2 linked regions of the Oreochromis niloticus genome follow. The protein of the gene in region 2 binds, or shares a complex with, the protein of the main gene of each other region. Links are inferred from orthologs where the notes say so. Each region holds a gene or a part of one and is shown on either strand. Other genes may lie near its edges.

Region 1 (7,293 bases), on a different chromosome or scaffold from region 2:
ACAAATGTTAAGGGAACACTGCCCTCTTCTGGGAACATTGTAAATAGCAGCAGTATGACCAGATGTAGGCATAAAACCTAAGATTTTTCAGCTTGACAGAATCGTGAGGTTTATGTGACCTTTGTTAAGAAATCAAGGTACTTAATGCCTGGATTTAAATCTTGATTGGACTGAACTCATCTTGGGTGAAACTTTAAAGTATTAGACAGGAGAGGAGAAAAAAAATAAAACCTACACACAATACAATGTTGACATCCATCTTTTAACACCAACTGAGCTAAAACGCATTTGAAAACATGAGCCTCAGTGACCAGTATTCAACACTGCCCTATAATGGGGCCATGAGGATTTAAACTAAATAAAGTATAGAACTGCATTTTTAACTCCAGCTTCTCTTATAGCTTAGAGGGGGGGGGAGAAAAAAAAAAGAAAAAAAAAAAGTGAAATTTTAGAATCTTACAGGTAATGAAAAAAGGAAAGAAAGAAGAAGAATCAAGCTTTTACAACTGTTTTATTACAATTTCTGATTTTTATTATCATACAGCAAATACAAGGACTGCAATAACATTGTCTGATTTTAGTGTGGCTTAACCTGACTGAGACAGCTATCTGAATATGCACTCGTGTTATCTTACACCTGGTATGCCACTCATAAGATGTGAGAATGGCAAAAGCCAGCTTTGATGTTAAAGTTGTCCATTATTGTGCGCTTTCAAAATTACTAGCGGTTGAGAACAGACCAGAGATAAACAGTACTTGCCCGCTAGCTTCAGCTTTTTCACGTACAATATATGTACCAAAAAAAACAAAACCCAAAATTATTTTAAAGACAGTTTAAATGCCAGTTACGTCTGAAGGTTTGAACTGTCATAAGTCTGATTTTTTAAATTCTGATTCAATGCAGGCAACTACTGTTTGATCCAAGTCTTAGTGGTTGCTGTGCATCAGCTTCTACTTTTTGGCCATCTGAAGACGCTCACTCACGTTCTCCCAGTTGACTACATTCCAGATAGCCTTCACATAGTCAGGTCGCACATTCTTGTATTGAAGGTAGTAAGCATGCTCCCATACATCAATACCAAGGAGGGGAGTGAGACCTAAGTGCCAAAAAAATACATACAAAAAGGCCATGTGGCAGTTAGATGGCCAAGTCGCATTTATTCAATTTAGTTTTATTTATATGCACCAAATCACAAAAAGTCCAACTGACCTGTTGTCCCCTGCAAAGGATCCTGGTTAGCACAAGCAGCAATGCGAAGTCTTCCACTGTCCTTGTCAAAGCCAAGCCACCCCCAGCCTGAGCCCTGTACAGCCACCGTAACAGCAGACATCTTCTCTTTCATCTTCTGAAAGGAGCCAAAGTCCCGTTTGATTGCCTCCATTAGCTCTCCTACAAAGTTGTCAAACAGATGTGTATGCTTCAGTGAAATGGCACAACACATAAATTTCTTGGTTGGAGTGTTTTCAGTGAAAGAAATGTTGCACTTATCCAAGTGATGATACAATTCGGTGACTGCAACCATTCCCCCAACTCTGAATAGTACTCATGGCCACTGATCAAATTTCATGACAATTTCCATATTAACAAAACTGAGCTTTAAGCCAGTTATTAGGAAATGGTGCAATTTTCAGTCATTATGTAACACTAAAAAAACTCTGCAACCATATGAATCAACTTTTCAGCAAGTCATAAAATTAAGTTGCACATTCAATAAGAGTCAGCATGTCTCAGAGAAAAACCAAGTGATCTGATTAAAGACAAACAAGTTGATTGGCCATGAGTTGTCTTAGTCTGGTCATATACCGTTTTTTGTATTTTTGTGGATTTCTCTGTCTTACCTTGTGGTTCACCTCCACCATTTGGAGAGAGATTTGTCCAGAAGATGGTGTGGTTAATGTGGCCGCCTCCATTAAACTTGAGGGCAGGCTGGAGAGCAACCTGTGTTGTCACGTCTCCTAAAAATGTAAGTCAAATATACACAACATACAGCTTCTGTCAAACTCTTACACATTTATGTTTGGGGGAAAAATCTTTAAGGAAAAAAACTGTAACGTACATATCAGAATCTTAATTACAACTTCATATAGACAACTACTTTTAAAGTCTTCATTTTCAATTAGAGTCATGTGAAGTGAAATATCATGCGACTCTGCCCATACCCTTTGCAAGAGCCTCCTGATACTTCTCTTCTGTAACATTTAGGTTGTTGACATATGTAGCATGGTGCTTGCTGTGATGCAGCTGCATGATCTCTGCACTGACGTAGGGCTCCAGGGCACCATAGTCGTATGTCAGGTCAGGGAGAGTATGCTTCTGCCTCGATGCAGCTACCTTGCTAATAGTGTGGCTGAGGCTGGCTGCACACCTGAAAAGAAATAATGAAGTAATACAGCATGAAATAAGGCATGACATCATGAAAATGTCATGACATCAGCAAGAAAACTGTAATTCAGTTATTTAGGGATACAGAAATTGAGATGTACCAAACAGAACTACTTTTAAACTATAGTTTTCTTATCAAAGAGTAATTTGCTAAGGAGCTATTGACAGGGCTGTGCAACTAAGCCGTACCAAATTACTTCCCTGCAGGGTATCAGAGGTAGGATTTTTAGCTTACTTAAGCAACTGACCTAAATGTCTGTTGTTGATACTGGATTTATGCAGCTCTTGAAGCACAGTCATCTACATATTAGTTCACTGAACACATGATACTGGCTCAATATTAAGACATTCGGTTCATAACTTCATGCACGAGCTCATAACAGGATGATTACGCGTTTAATAAACAAAACCCTGTATTTAGTGCGCCATAAGCTAACCTAGCTGAGCTGCCAGTTAGCATTTCGGTTAGCTAACTGCTAGCTATCAATAAGCAACTGTCACGTTCAAGAACAACTGCTGCTAGCAGAAGTCAAGAGCCCCGATTCCGTATGCACTCTGAGCACAGTACACGCACCAAATACTCAAGTGACAACAATCTTACCTGCGTATTTGTCCAGCTCTGCAAAGCATGTTCCTAATGCTGTTCAATGGACAGAATGAAGGAATACACACGCTGATAACAACTGCCCTTGAAATGTGCAATTTCAAGTTGACAGAGGAGGCGACCGTACCATTACATCTATGCTGTGGGGGTGTCCGGGAATTGGATAAACACAGGAGTCAAGCGGCTACATGTGACAACGACACACATTATTAGAGACACTTGGCAGATGAGAGAGACTGTATTAAAAACGCATCCCGATACTCTGGAATAATAATAAACAAAGCTCCTTACCTTCTGTATTATTTTGCAACTCCTCCCTCTAGTAGGTTTTCCGTAGCTTTAAAAAAGTGCATTATATCACTGTTATGAAAAAAAAAAAAAAAAATTCTTCTCGTATATTTCATTTATTGTAAATCTATTCACTCTGTTTATTTATTGCAAAACAAAGCATATATTTAAAGGAGTAGTTCTTAATACATAATTAATACAAGCATAATTAAAAAAATAAAAAAACTAACAGCAGAGAGTCACGTGAACGTTCTCCCCACAACAGTGGAGGCAATGGCGGAGATCGTCTATATTAAAATAATGGCGCACTAAGAAGCAAACAACGCTTGCTTAAAAGGGAAAACCCTCAGGTTTGAATTCAGAACACGGTGTCACTTCTGGTGGACACTAAACTGAGAACAATTCTAGCATGCACCAGAAGTGTCAACTTCATGGAACAACAGGAAGTTATTTCTGCAACAGAAATAAAAAAGAAAATATGGCTTATTATTTCACAATTTCGAGTTATTTTTTAGTCTTTTTGAAGTCTACATTTCAAGATCCTAAAAAGAAACACTTCTTTCTTCAACAGCAGAAACAAGTTTCGGTACAACTCACAGTCGATGATGCACCAAAGGCTAATGTCAAGGCACACTAAGGATTTCTCTACTCTAGATTTCTTTTATGAATTAATTCAAATAATTATGTTTATGAACACTCATAATAATTAAAAAAGTATTTCTTCAAACTACTCCTACCAATAGTACAAAAGGGGGAGCTTTGTGCTGTGTATATATTTAAATACATTTGTTAACATAAATACATTAGTTAATAATTAAAAACATCCATTCATACAAACTAAGGCTAAAAATAATACAATAAAAATAGCAATGCGGGGATGAATTCATCAAAATCACATAAAAAATATCTACTGTTTACTGTTATTTGAGGGGTACATTTTATGATCTTAAAATCGCTGCGGAGTGAGAGGTCTCGCTCTTTGCCTCTATCTGTGCTAGAACTCTGCAGTAAGGCAAGTGCAGCGCAGCGCCCAGCTACAGCCATTCTGTTTAGTCGACCGCGAGGAAGATGCTGTTGACCACGCCGAAGCGAGACGACTACAAATAACTTCCCCATAATTTTTAACCAAGTCGCAGGTTCTCGTTTCACAAAGAACCCCTGACACCAAGAGGATCCAGAAACATCGAAAGAAACTGATCTGGTAAGTGATTTTTCTTTGATGGCTGAAGGCCCGATATCTGCCACCCAGAGCCCGCTAGTTTCAGGAAAAGGAGTGCTAGGGAGGGAGTCATTTCCTTCACCGCCATTTTGTGATAACAAGGAGCGGAAAACAGATCCAAGACTTGTATGCTGCCAGGCTGGACATAGGGAAATAGTGAAGCTCGGTACTGCTGTTTCGTTACGTGTAGTTAGTTTGCTAACGGAAACAGCTAAACCTTATTAGCAGCCCAGTGTTAACCTTGGTTAGCATATTTTCCATTTCTCGCGGTCCGTTGCTGCTGCTGCTTGTCACACGAGCTAACACAAGGCTCGGCTGCTCTTATAAACTGCTAATATTAACTTTGATTTGGTTTTGCGGGATAGTTAATGTGTTCCTCACACACCATCAGGGTCATCTATTAGCTGAAAGGCACAGCTTTTGTACCGAGTTATCAGAGTTGCTGTACATTGTACTGCGTGTTGATAGCCATCGCGTTAAAACATGATGCAGTCCTTTAAGCACACAACCCCAAGCTGTAATTACTGCTGATTTCCTGTCGTGTTTTTACTTACAGGGTTCACAATGACCAACGAGGAGCCTCTACCCAAGAAAGTGAGTTTCTTTTCTTATTCTAATGTACCCCTTGTAATTTGTTATGTGTCACGACCCTGCCCACCACCCTCCAAATATTCTAATGGGTTTCTTTATGTAACCAGTGCTTGGGTTTTCGTTCACACAGGTTCGCCTTAGTGAATCGGACATGAAGACTCTGACCAGAGAAGAGTTGTGTGCAAGGTAGGTAACAGCTCTGCTGTTGGTGATTATTTTGTGGTAGGGGGAATTTGGTGTTTGTGTTTTGGATGAGCAGCTAAAACATGTTCTGCCCATCACAGGTGGAAACAGCATGAAGCCTATGTCCAGGTCTTGGAGGCGAAATATGCGGAGCTATGTTGTAAGTACACCTGCTATAAGACACGGTTATGATTTAACCTTGTCAGCATCTCAACAATCACCATGTTTTTGCCCGGTGCTGCTGTCTGTGGCAGTCAGTGAAAGGAATTTTTCTGATATGTTTTGCATTTCTGCACCGCTTTTATCGCCTCAGCCAATGACGTTCCAGGGCTGAAGGAGTCGGAGGAAAAGCTCAAGCAGCAGCAGCAGGAATCCGCGCGGAGGGAAAACATCTTGGTCATGCGACTTGCCACCAAGGAGCAGGAAATGCAAGAGTGCACAGTATGTATTTATTCCTCTAATTATGCTTGACATTCAGTTTCCATTAGTACTACAGTTTGAGTACTTGATATAGTTCTTATAGGAATATAGCCCTTCTAACATAATGTTTAAATGAGCTTTCTTTCATTAAGATTTCACCAAAAAGAACATCAGTAACTTTGTGAATGAGTAATGATGTTACAGGTTGCTATTAAACATGTCAAAACTGGGTAATTATTATGCTAAATTCTAAATTTAATAATACAAGTTTTCAAAGTGCAAAATAATTTAACTTTATTACTAAATTTAAATGAATTGAATAATTTGCAACACTCCAGCAGAGAGCTTTCCTTAGTAAACTGTCATGATCATGGAAAAGAGGCTAAAAGTAAATTATTTCAAGCCAAGGCATCCTTTGCTCTTGCCAGATTGACAGCTCAGTGGATCAAACAGCTGCTTTATGGTAGCACATGCCATTCTTAAAGTGCAGCTGAGGTGAGCTCAACGCACAGGCTTTAAACTTGGAAACCCTGCAGTCACATTGAAATGGAAAGCATGGGGACACAGTTTTCAACAGAAATACCAGAATTTTAAGCTAAATGTGTTTGAGACACACACACACACACACACACAAAAAAACAACAACAAAAATGGTTGATGTCATCATAACTTTGGCAGGTGAGTTTCATTTGTTTTGGACCAGTCTGATCTCCCCGGGCCTGGAAAGGCAACTGTCAAATGATTGGAAGTAATTGTCACTTAGAGATTTTGTCTTGAAAACTTTGTAGATGGTAGGTACCAAGTGTTGCTCTAAGGTAACATGCTTAAATTGTTTGAGTCCACATCTTTAGATAACTTTAGCAGAAAAGTTGCCATCAGAAGATGGCGATTTCCAATTTTACACATTTTGTTTATTTTTTAAGAGGAAAAACACGGCTACTGGAGATCAGAGCCAAACCCAAGAATTTTCTCTTGAACCATGATAAAACACTTGTTTATTTGTTCCTGCCAGTCACATGTGTTTGTTGTATCCTGCAGACGCAGATCCAGTACCTCAAGCAAGTCCAGCAGCCGAGCGTGGCCCAACTGCGGTCGTCCATGGTGGACCCATCCATCAACTTGTTTTTCCTCAAAATGAAGGCTGAACTGGAACAGACTAAAGACAAACTGGAGCAGGCCCAAAATGAACTGAGTGCCTGGAAATTTACACCTGATAGGTAAAGACAATCAAAATAATCCCCCTCAAAAAAACAAAACAAAACAGAAAAGTCAAGACTTCCTCACGCCCCCCACCCTCACTCTCACTGCAGACATGCAGGAACAATGGTGGGGGGGAAGGCTGACAAAGTGCTGTACTCACCACGAGATTCAGACTTTACAGAAAGCCAGTCACTCCAAAAAAAAAAACAAACCCCAAACTGTTTTTGTACTCTTGCACTGTGCCAGCTACATATCACATAACCTAAAGAGAAAAGACAGTATGGTCAGGTGACACTTGTGTTTCAGCTCTCTCCCCTCGAGTTCCCCTCACCGTCCAAGGGCCTGAAGGAGTCCGGACTGTTCCTGAAGAGGTGGTCACTCGCTTCCCGACGTGGATATGGCCTC
Region 2 (7,486 bases):
TTAGTACAAACATCACTAATGTCACTTAACTTTGCTGACATGTGGCCAACAGTAATGTTTTAATGTTCTTCATTATAAAAACATTTGCGCATAAATAAGTGACATAATATTCAGTACTTACTTCTGAAAGTTTACTCTTTGGCGGCTCCGCTTCCGCCGTTTTTTTCGGCAAAATTATCCACACCACGGCCGCGCTATGAAATCTGGGATATGTTGGGCCATGACGGCTACACCGACCCATCCTTAAAATTCAGGGAAATTAAGGACGCATTTGAGGGCCGCATTTCGAGCAGCCTTTGAATTGGGACAGCCTTCGTCGTTTCGCTGTGACATAATCGTCCTTAAAATGTCGCCTTTAAGGCTGCAGACCCTGAATTGGGATAGAGCCCAAATCCGGTCATTGGTACTTCCTGGCTTGTGTAGTTACTAGGTAACGAAAGCTCAACACTGCCCCTAGCGTCCTGGAGCACTTCCGTTGTGTTTTGGAATTTGCAAGTGTTTTGGAGTTTGCATGTGTTTTGGAGTTTGCAAGTGTTTTGAATTTTGCAAGTGTTTTGGATTTTGCAAGTGTTTTGGAGTTTGCATATGTTTTGGAGTTTGCAAGTGTTTTGGATTTTGCAAGTGTTTTGGAGTTTGCAAGTGTTTTGGATTTTGCAAGTGTTTTGGAGTTTGCATGTGTTTTGGAGTTTGCAAGTGTTTTGAAGTTTGCAAGTGTTTTGGATTTTGCAAGTGTTTTGGATTTTGCAAGTGTTTTGGAGTTTGCATGTGTTTTGGAGTTTGCATGTGCTTTGGAGTTTGTACGTGCTTTGTCTCTAGGGGCCACCGTACCATCATGCCACCCGACACTGATCCAAATCTCATTTAAGAACAAGAGTTATGAATTACAAGCAGGCAGCTTTATTAACCTGCTAGCAGTAAGCTTGAGCTGTCTGCACATGCATAATCTGTTGTTCTGGGCCAATGCCATCAGTAGTTCTTATACCCAACAGCTTTCAATAATTAAGCATCTGAAAGTCATCACCAAGCACTCCAAATGACATATGCCTGGCATTTGCCCTTTTTCCTTTCTGCTGTAGACTTTCATTGACTCCCGTGTGAATACAAACACACACGCAGGCAAGTGTTCGTATGTGCCATGTGCCAGCGCTGGTGTTAGTGACAACATGTGCAATAAGTCAAAGAGTTTCTCTGTTCTCCAGGGAGAGCAGGACACTTTCTCACCTGACTATGGACACTGCTGTTATATACAATCTGACTATAGGCTCCCTTGAGAAGCATGACTAACATCTCATAATCAAGTCCACGACACACAGCTAGAGGCAAAACAGAAACAGAGAGCGTAGGAGTGTGCGGGAAACAACGTAAATGGCACGACACTCAAGGTATTTAAGTGCCTCTGGGGAATAGAGGGCTGGAATGTAAAGAAGAGTAGGAGCAGAAAAGAGGAGCGTGCTTGAATGAAGCTCTGTTAGACCACTGTAAGCAGTTATGAATTTAACGGCAAATGGTGACAGAACCTGCACCTGTGTCTGACGACGTTTGTGAGAGGGAGGGATAAAATAAATACCGCACATTTAAGCACATGTGTACACGTTTGTGCTCTCTCACCCCTTGCCCAGCAGTCTGCAGACCACTGTAGCATCTTCCTCTCCCCAGTCGTTGCTACAAATAGACCCCCACGTTCCCCCAAGGTACACTTCGACCCGGCCGTCTAGCTTGGAGCGGCCACCTTGCAGACGGACGGAGCCTGAGATGGAAAGACGGTTGGAGAAAAGTAGATGTAAAACTATATGTGATGTGCAAAAGAAGCTTTTTGGGGAACATTGAACTTAAAGTCTGTGTGTGTGTGTGTGTGTGTGTGTGTGTGTGTGTGTGTGGTGGTGCTGGTGGGGGGGTATCTGATAAATCATCAGATATACTAACAGGTGTTTTTGTGTATTTTACCACATCAGATGCAAAAAATAAGACTAATGTAAAAAAGTGAAATATTACAGAATGCAAAAGATGTGTCTGTGACTGTTTTTAAATGTGACACCTTTTTATATTTTCTACCTGCACAGCCTTTTCCTTCAAAAATGGAGAGACATGTTCCTCCTGTACTGCCCCACAATGCAAATCATGATCTAAATATTTATAACCCATAAGATGAATAAGATTAATATAAAATGAAAAAGCTGCATTTTTCTGATTTATTTGATTTATTATTTGCAGTTATAGTCACTCGGTGTGTGAGCATGCATCAGGGTAACCTGGTTGCTTTACATTGTAAAGTAAGAAGCTTACAGCGAATGCCTCAGTCCAAGTCCATGCTAACACACACATACACACACACACCTGGCGTCCTGTGGCTCTCTTCCTTGTGCAATAGTAAACACACTGAATCTGGAGACCTCACTTACAGCCATGTAATTGTTAAAACGTTCAGTAACAGACACCAAAACTGTGATATAATACAGCTGCATATGGTTAAAAAAAACAGAAGAAGCTGAAAACACAAATGTTTTCACATGAATAATCACATTCACACTCTGGTAAACCAAAGGTATGATCACCTTTAATTATTCCATGGGTGGATGCTCTGTGACTCAGCTGCACAGCACTGTAAAAACACATCTATCTACAGCTGCTCAGCCTATACAAAAATGTACATTCCATTCATATTGGCCTTGCTGTAGCATGTCTTGAATCCTGCTCGTCTGGGGATTTCACCTTCTTCTAGGTTTAATATTTGTAGCCACGTTCAACAATTTCGAGGCTGTTAATTCCTATAAAACACAATAAAGCTGCTGCTCTGTAGGCCTGCGTGTTTACCTTGTTTACAGTCGCAGTACCCCCAGTCTACTCTGCCTCTGTGGTTCCTAAAAAAGCACCAGGGTCGGATTCGGCCGTCCGGGTTGCGACAGTGGTTGTGCTCGCCTATGCCTTTGCCCGGGTAGCGCTCCTCGAAGCCGGCCACTTCGGTCCAGTTCATGCACCGGGTACCGGACTCGGTGACGTCTATCGCTCCCCGGTAGAAGCCGTCTTTTCCACGGCTTCGGGCGCAGTCGGTGAACGGAAGGATGAATGAAGGGACGCTGCTGGCATAAAAGCAGCAGCTGATCGCAGCCAAAAGAACGGCTTTTAAAACAACAAATGGCACACTCATGTTAGGGCTATGACGGATCCTATCATCAGCTGAGGGTTTCCACGCATCCAGTCAGCCTCTCGCCCAGCCGTGGGACGAAAGTGAGAACGACGCGGATCGATGAAACCCCCTTTTCTTTTTTGCATAGGCAAGGCAGTCCTCCAACGAAAATTCAATAACATAGACTACATGATTGCTTCGACCAAACTGCAGTGTACCTATATTTAATAGGAATGGGTTTTTTTTAGATATTTTTTTTTCGCATTGTTTTATATATTTCAGTACCCTTTACTACTCATTAACCACTCGACCAAGTAGTTTAGAAATATTCTATAAAATCAAATCTAAAACCCCTCCTGACGGACAGCATTCAAATCCTCTCAAATATTAGGGCATTTGCTCTAATAACGTAAAACATGAAAATACGTGGTATTTAAATTTTAAAATGCTTCTACTTAAAAAAAATATATATATATATATATATATATATATATATATATATATATATATTTAATATTTATTAGACGGTGGTGTTCCTATTATTGCTCAAATTATACGTATTCAGTCGTTTGGAGCCGATTTGTAGGGAGTTCATTTGAGATGCGTTCTTGCAGGTGAGTTATCTGAAGCACTTGCTTTTATCATTTTGCACAATTTTCTCCTGCGCAATCTTCTCTCAAAAATGCGTACGCTTTTTCATTGCGTGTCTTTCACAACTTGAATCTTTTGTGACGGATCGTGTCTGCAGGAGTTTAACAACGTGATGTGCTTGAAAGATAACAAATGTTAAGAATGACTTCTCAGTGAACCAGTGCGTGAAAACTCAACACCAATAAAGTCAGCGACGAAATCAACGCAGTGAGGTGTGCTGGGATTGATTGTTGACATGCTAGACCGGCCTTCCTGTCAGTGGTGGATACGCCTTGAGGTAACGTGAGCGCTCTCTGCTGTGATTGGTGTTTAAATTATTAGTCGGGAGCCCTCGTGGGATCTGTCCGCTGCTGCTTGAAGAGCGAGGAGAACTAACCGTCTCTGATTGGAAGACGACTTGCGAAACGTCAGAGATACACGCCGAAAATTGTGACATCATCGCACCGCGTCCGTTCAATCACAAAGGGGTTCACTCTTTAATTAATACCGGCGTACACCGCCAATCGCTGAGACAGGCGGTAAATCACTCTTTTCTTAAGACCCAATCATTGTTCATACTATGATGGTTTAACCAATACAGTTAGGCATAACTGTATAGGAGCCAAATACACATGTGCCTTTGACTCTCATTTTGAACAAACTCCACCTGCTGATGGGCAATAAAGTGGCACGCATAGTGCCTGTGCGTACTGGTGTCGAAACCGATTGCACCTATCGACTTTTCCATTTTTTAGCGGTTATCCCCCATTAGCCGGTTGCTAGCTGTTGTTACAGATAGCAATAAGTGTTATATGAACATATTTTATTTACACCAGCCGCCAAGGGGGTTTAATACTGTGTCAGAACCCGGTACATAAGACGCAATGAACAGCCGTCTTCAAGAGATACGCGAGAGACAAAAACTTAGGCGGCAGCTGTTAGCTCAACAGGCAAGTACACAACGAGCCCTCCAGCTGCCTGTCAACTTACCTACATACCTAACGGATTTGTGTTAATAACGTGGAGCTAAGCGTGTTATGTGCAAAATGGATTTTCAGATAGTTTTCCGCCCAATACACCGATGTATGGGTGCCGATAACAAGCCTACCCCTTTAAAACATTCAGAGTGGTCGCCCTTGAGAGGAGCAGACTCGGTGTACGTCTAAATAAAAGATTTGAGCGCATTGAGGAGCCATTACAATTATCCGTAACGCTATGGAGTCACGTACCAGCAGTACAAAATACCAAGGGGTGTTTTATTAAGCACATGTTTCGTCATAGTTGGCACTGTATTGTTAACAGAACACAGGCAGGAGGGACTTTATATTTACTTGCTCTATCGTTACCACAGCTGGGAGCTGAAAGCGCAGACAGCATCGGAGCAGTCCTACACAGTAAAGACGAACTAAAAGAGATCGAGGAGACTAGAGAAACATGCAGGTAAGCTATAGTGTTGGTACTGTTCATGGTGGCTGTGGCTCAGGCGGTAGAGAGGACCATCCACCAATCACAAAGTCTGTGAATCATTCCTCATCGCCACATGTTGAAGCATCATTAAGCAACATACCCCCCAAGTTCCCCTGAACCGTTAAGAGTCCCAGTCCGTTTACTAAACTGCAGAAATCCTCAGAAGCATTTTTCTCTTTGGGTTTACTGCATGCACAGTCTTTTTGTCATCTTATGAGCTCCGTGATGTCATTTTTTTCAGTACCAAATGCTTGCTTTGGGACTAAGGAAATGTTGAAATATAGAGGTGTATTCGTTTTCAGGGCTTCATATGACAGCACAGCCCCATCTTCTAAAAGGAAAGCACAGACAGAAGGAGAGGACACAGAGGAGGATGTGGAAGAGCAAAAGGTGAGTGTAACCACATAAATGTTGAGTTTATGAGATTTGGCACTATATAAATAAAACTGAATTAAAAAGCCTGGATGTGTCAGGAGGAGTTAAGTATTGTGACATTGTGCCATAGACAGCAATAACATATGCTTAAAGTGGTGGAGCTTATGGCAAAGCTATGTTCAAAAGTGTCTTTATCTGACAGTACAGTTAAAATGGTCACTGACATCAGTAGTGACGACATAAAGGCTCTTATTCTACAAGCATCAATACAGGAGTGCCTTGAAATTTGGCGTGACTTGTACACAAAGGCTTGTAAAGGTCTGGATTAGAGGACAAAACTAATCTGCTAATCTCTTGTCTGGTAAATGCTGTCTTTGAGCCAGAGTTTGACTTTGCTCTTTTGCATGACTATAATGACGTAAATACAAATGACTTATGAAAAAGGTGGAAGTATTAGATCATTTTTCCATTTAATACTTTAAAGTATTTTTAACACTACAACCCATTAAAGGTTTTAACAGATTATATCTTAAGGTAATGAATTGTATGGTGAAGTATAGATTTACAATCGTAATTTCAAATAAGTTGGCATGCTGTGTGTGGTAATAAATTGAATGAATAGAACAGAATAAAGTACAGAAAACATGTAAAATATTGAAACATTTTGCTATTTTATTAAAACTAAATGGTTAGCCCAGAGATGGATTGGCAAAATATGATAGCTGGGATAGGCTCCAGCCCCCTGTGACCTGCAACCCTAATAAGGATTATGGAAGGGAATGCATGGATGGATGCATTTAAAAAAAAATGGCCTTATGGAATTTATTGGCAGCAACACATTTCAAATCTCACTGTTGGATGCTGGTGATGTTACATGGTGCTAGACTGCATGGGCTCCAAACACTTCCAGTCTGTGAACAGAGCTTACCTTGGACTGTAGAGCAGTTGAGACGTGTTCTCTGGATTGACAAATCATGTTTTTCCATCCGGCACTCCCCTGGATGGGTCTGAGTTTGGAAGTTATGTAGAGTCCAGGTGCTGAACTGGTCTGCTTGCAGTCCAGACCTTTAACCAATTTAAAATATCTCGAACATCATAAAATGAGACGTGCAACAAGGAAGACCCAGGAGTGCTGAGCTGCTAAAAGGCTATATCAGATAAGCCTAGCAGCTGGTCTCCCAGACATTTACAGACTCTTGTTAAAAGAAGACGGGGTTCTACACAGTCCGTAAACATGGCCCTGTTCCAGCGTTTTGGGGAAGTGTTATTGCCATCAAATTCATGATGACCTATTGTTTTTCTTAAAATGGTACATTGTCTCAGTTTCTGCAGTGAATAAAACATGGGTTATGAGATCCGCAAATCATTGTATTCTGGTTTTATTTACATTTCCCACAATGTCTCAACTTTTTTGGAATTAGTGTTGTATTTTAATATAGTGCAAAATGCATTGATTCAGATGTGTTAGAACAAATGTATGGAAATGTGGACAGATTTAATAGGCTGACAATGTCCCATCTCCCTCTTTGATTTCCATCTAACTGATTTAATGTTTTTTGTACATTTGTGTCTTTGTCTTACTCTCCATATTAAACAGTGGTGGAGTTTATTATAGTTAGCAATTCTCTTGTTTTATTATGCAATTACATTCGGCTGTATTCGTTTGCTAACCACATGTTTGTGTTTTAGGATGAGTTGGAAGTGCAGCAACCAGATGAAACCAACCCATACGAAGAGGTGTACAAGGACTCAAGTACTTTTCTTAAGGTTGGGAAACTCTTTCTTTGCATTCACAGTCTCATTTATGTGGACTTGCATAACCTGTTTCCACACAAAGTATCCAGCAACTTTAAGACAAAAAAATGTTTTTGAATGGACGTCTAACATTCC

What was found. The genes of interacting proteins can lie anywhere in the genome.
Region 1: mettl14 (region 2) and wtap share a complex: the UniProt entries of both Homo sapiens proteins name them as parts of the WMM complex. The link is inferred for Oreochromis niloticus from reciprocal best matches to the Homo sapiens genes METTL14 and WTAP.

What each region holds. Positions count from the first base shown.
Region 1 is NC_031980.2:12,347,313-12,354,605, forward strand, and holds the start of wtap (pre-mRNA-splicing regulator WTAP), read left to right. Parts: upstream 1-4,271; 5' UTR 4,272-4,476; intron 4,477-5,050; 5' UTR 5,051-5,058; coding exon 5,059-5,088; intron 5,089-5,215; coding exon 5,216-5,271; intron 5,272-5,369; coding exon 5,370-5,428; intron 5,429-5,581; coding exon 5,582-5,709; intron 5,710-6,726; coding exon 6,727-6,905; intron 6,906-7,293. Other genes in the region: sod2 (superoxide dismutase [Mn], mitochondrial), read right to left, coding at 952-1,097, 1,211-1,390, 1,840-1,956, 2,161-2,366, 2,985-3,013. UniProt on the Homo sapiens protein: Associated component of the WMM complex, a complex that mediates N6-methyladenosine (m6A) methylation of RNAs, a modification that plays a role in the efficiency of mRNA splicing and RNA processing.
Region 2 is NC_031971.2:20,855,396-20,862,881, reverse strand, and holds the start of mettl14 (N(6)-adenosine-methyltransferase non-catalytic subunit METTL14), read left to right. Parts: upstream 1-4,456; 5' UTR 4,457-4,638; coding exon 4,639-4,704; intron 4,705-5,105; coding exon 5,106-5,194; intron 5,195-5,523; coding exon 5,524-5,611; intron 5,612-7,285; coding exon 7,286-7,363; intron 7,364-7,486. Other genes in the region: prss12 (neurotrypsin), read right to left, coding at 1,609-1,747, 2,812-3,145. UniProt on the Homo sapiens protein: The METTL3-METTL14 heterodimer forms a N6-methyltransferase complex that methylates adenosine residues at the N(6) position of some mRNAs and regulates the circadian clock, differentiation of embryonic stem cells and cortical neurogenesis.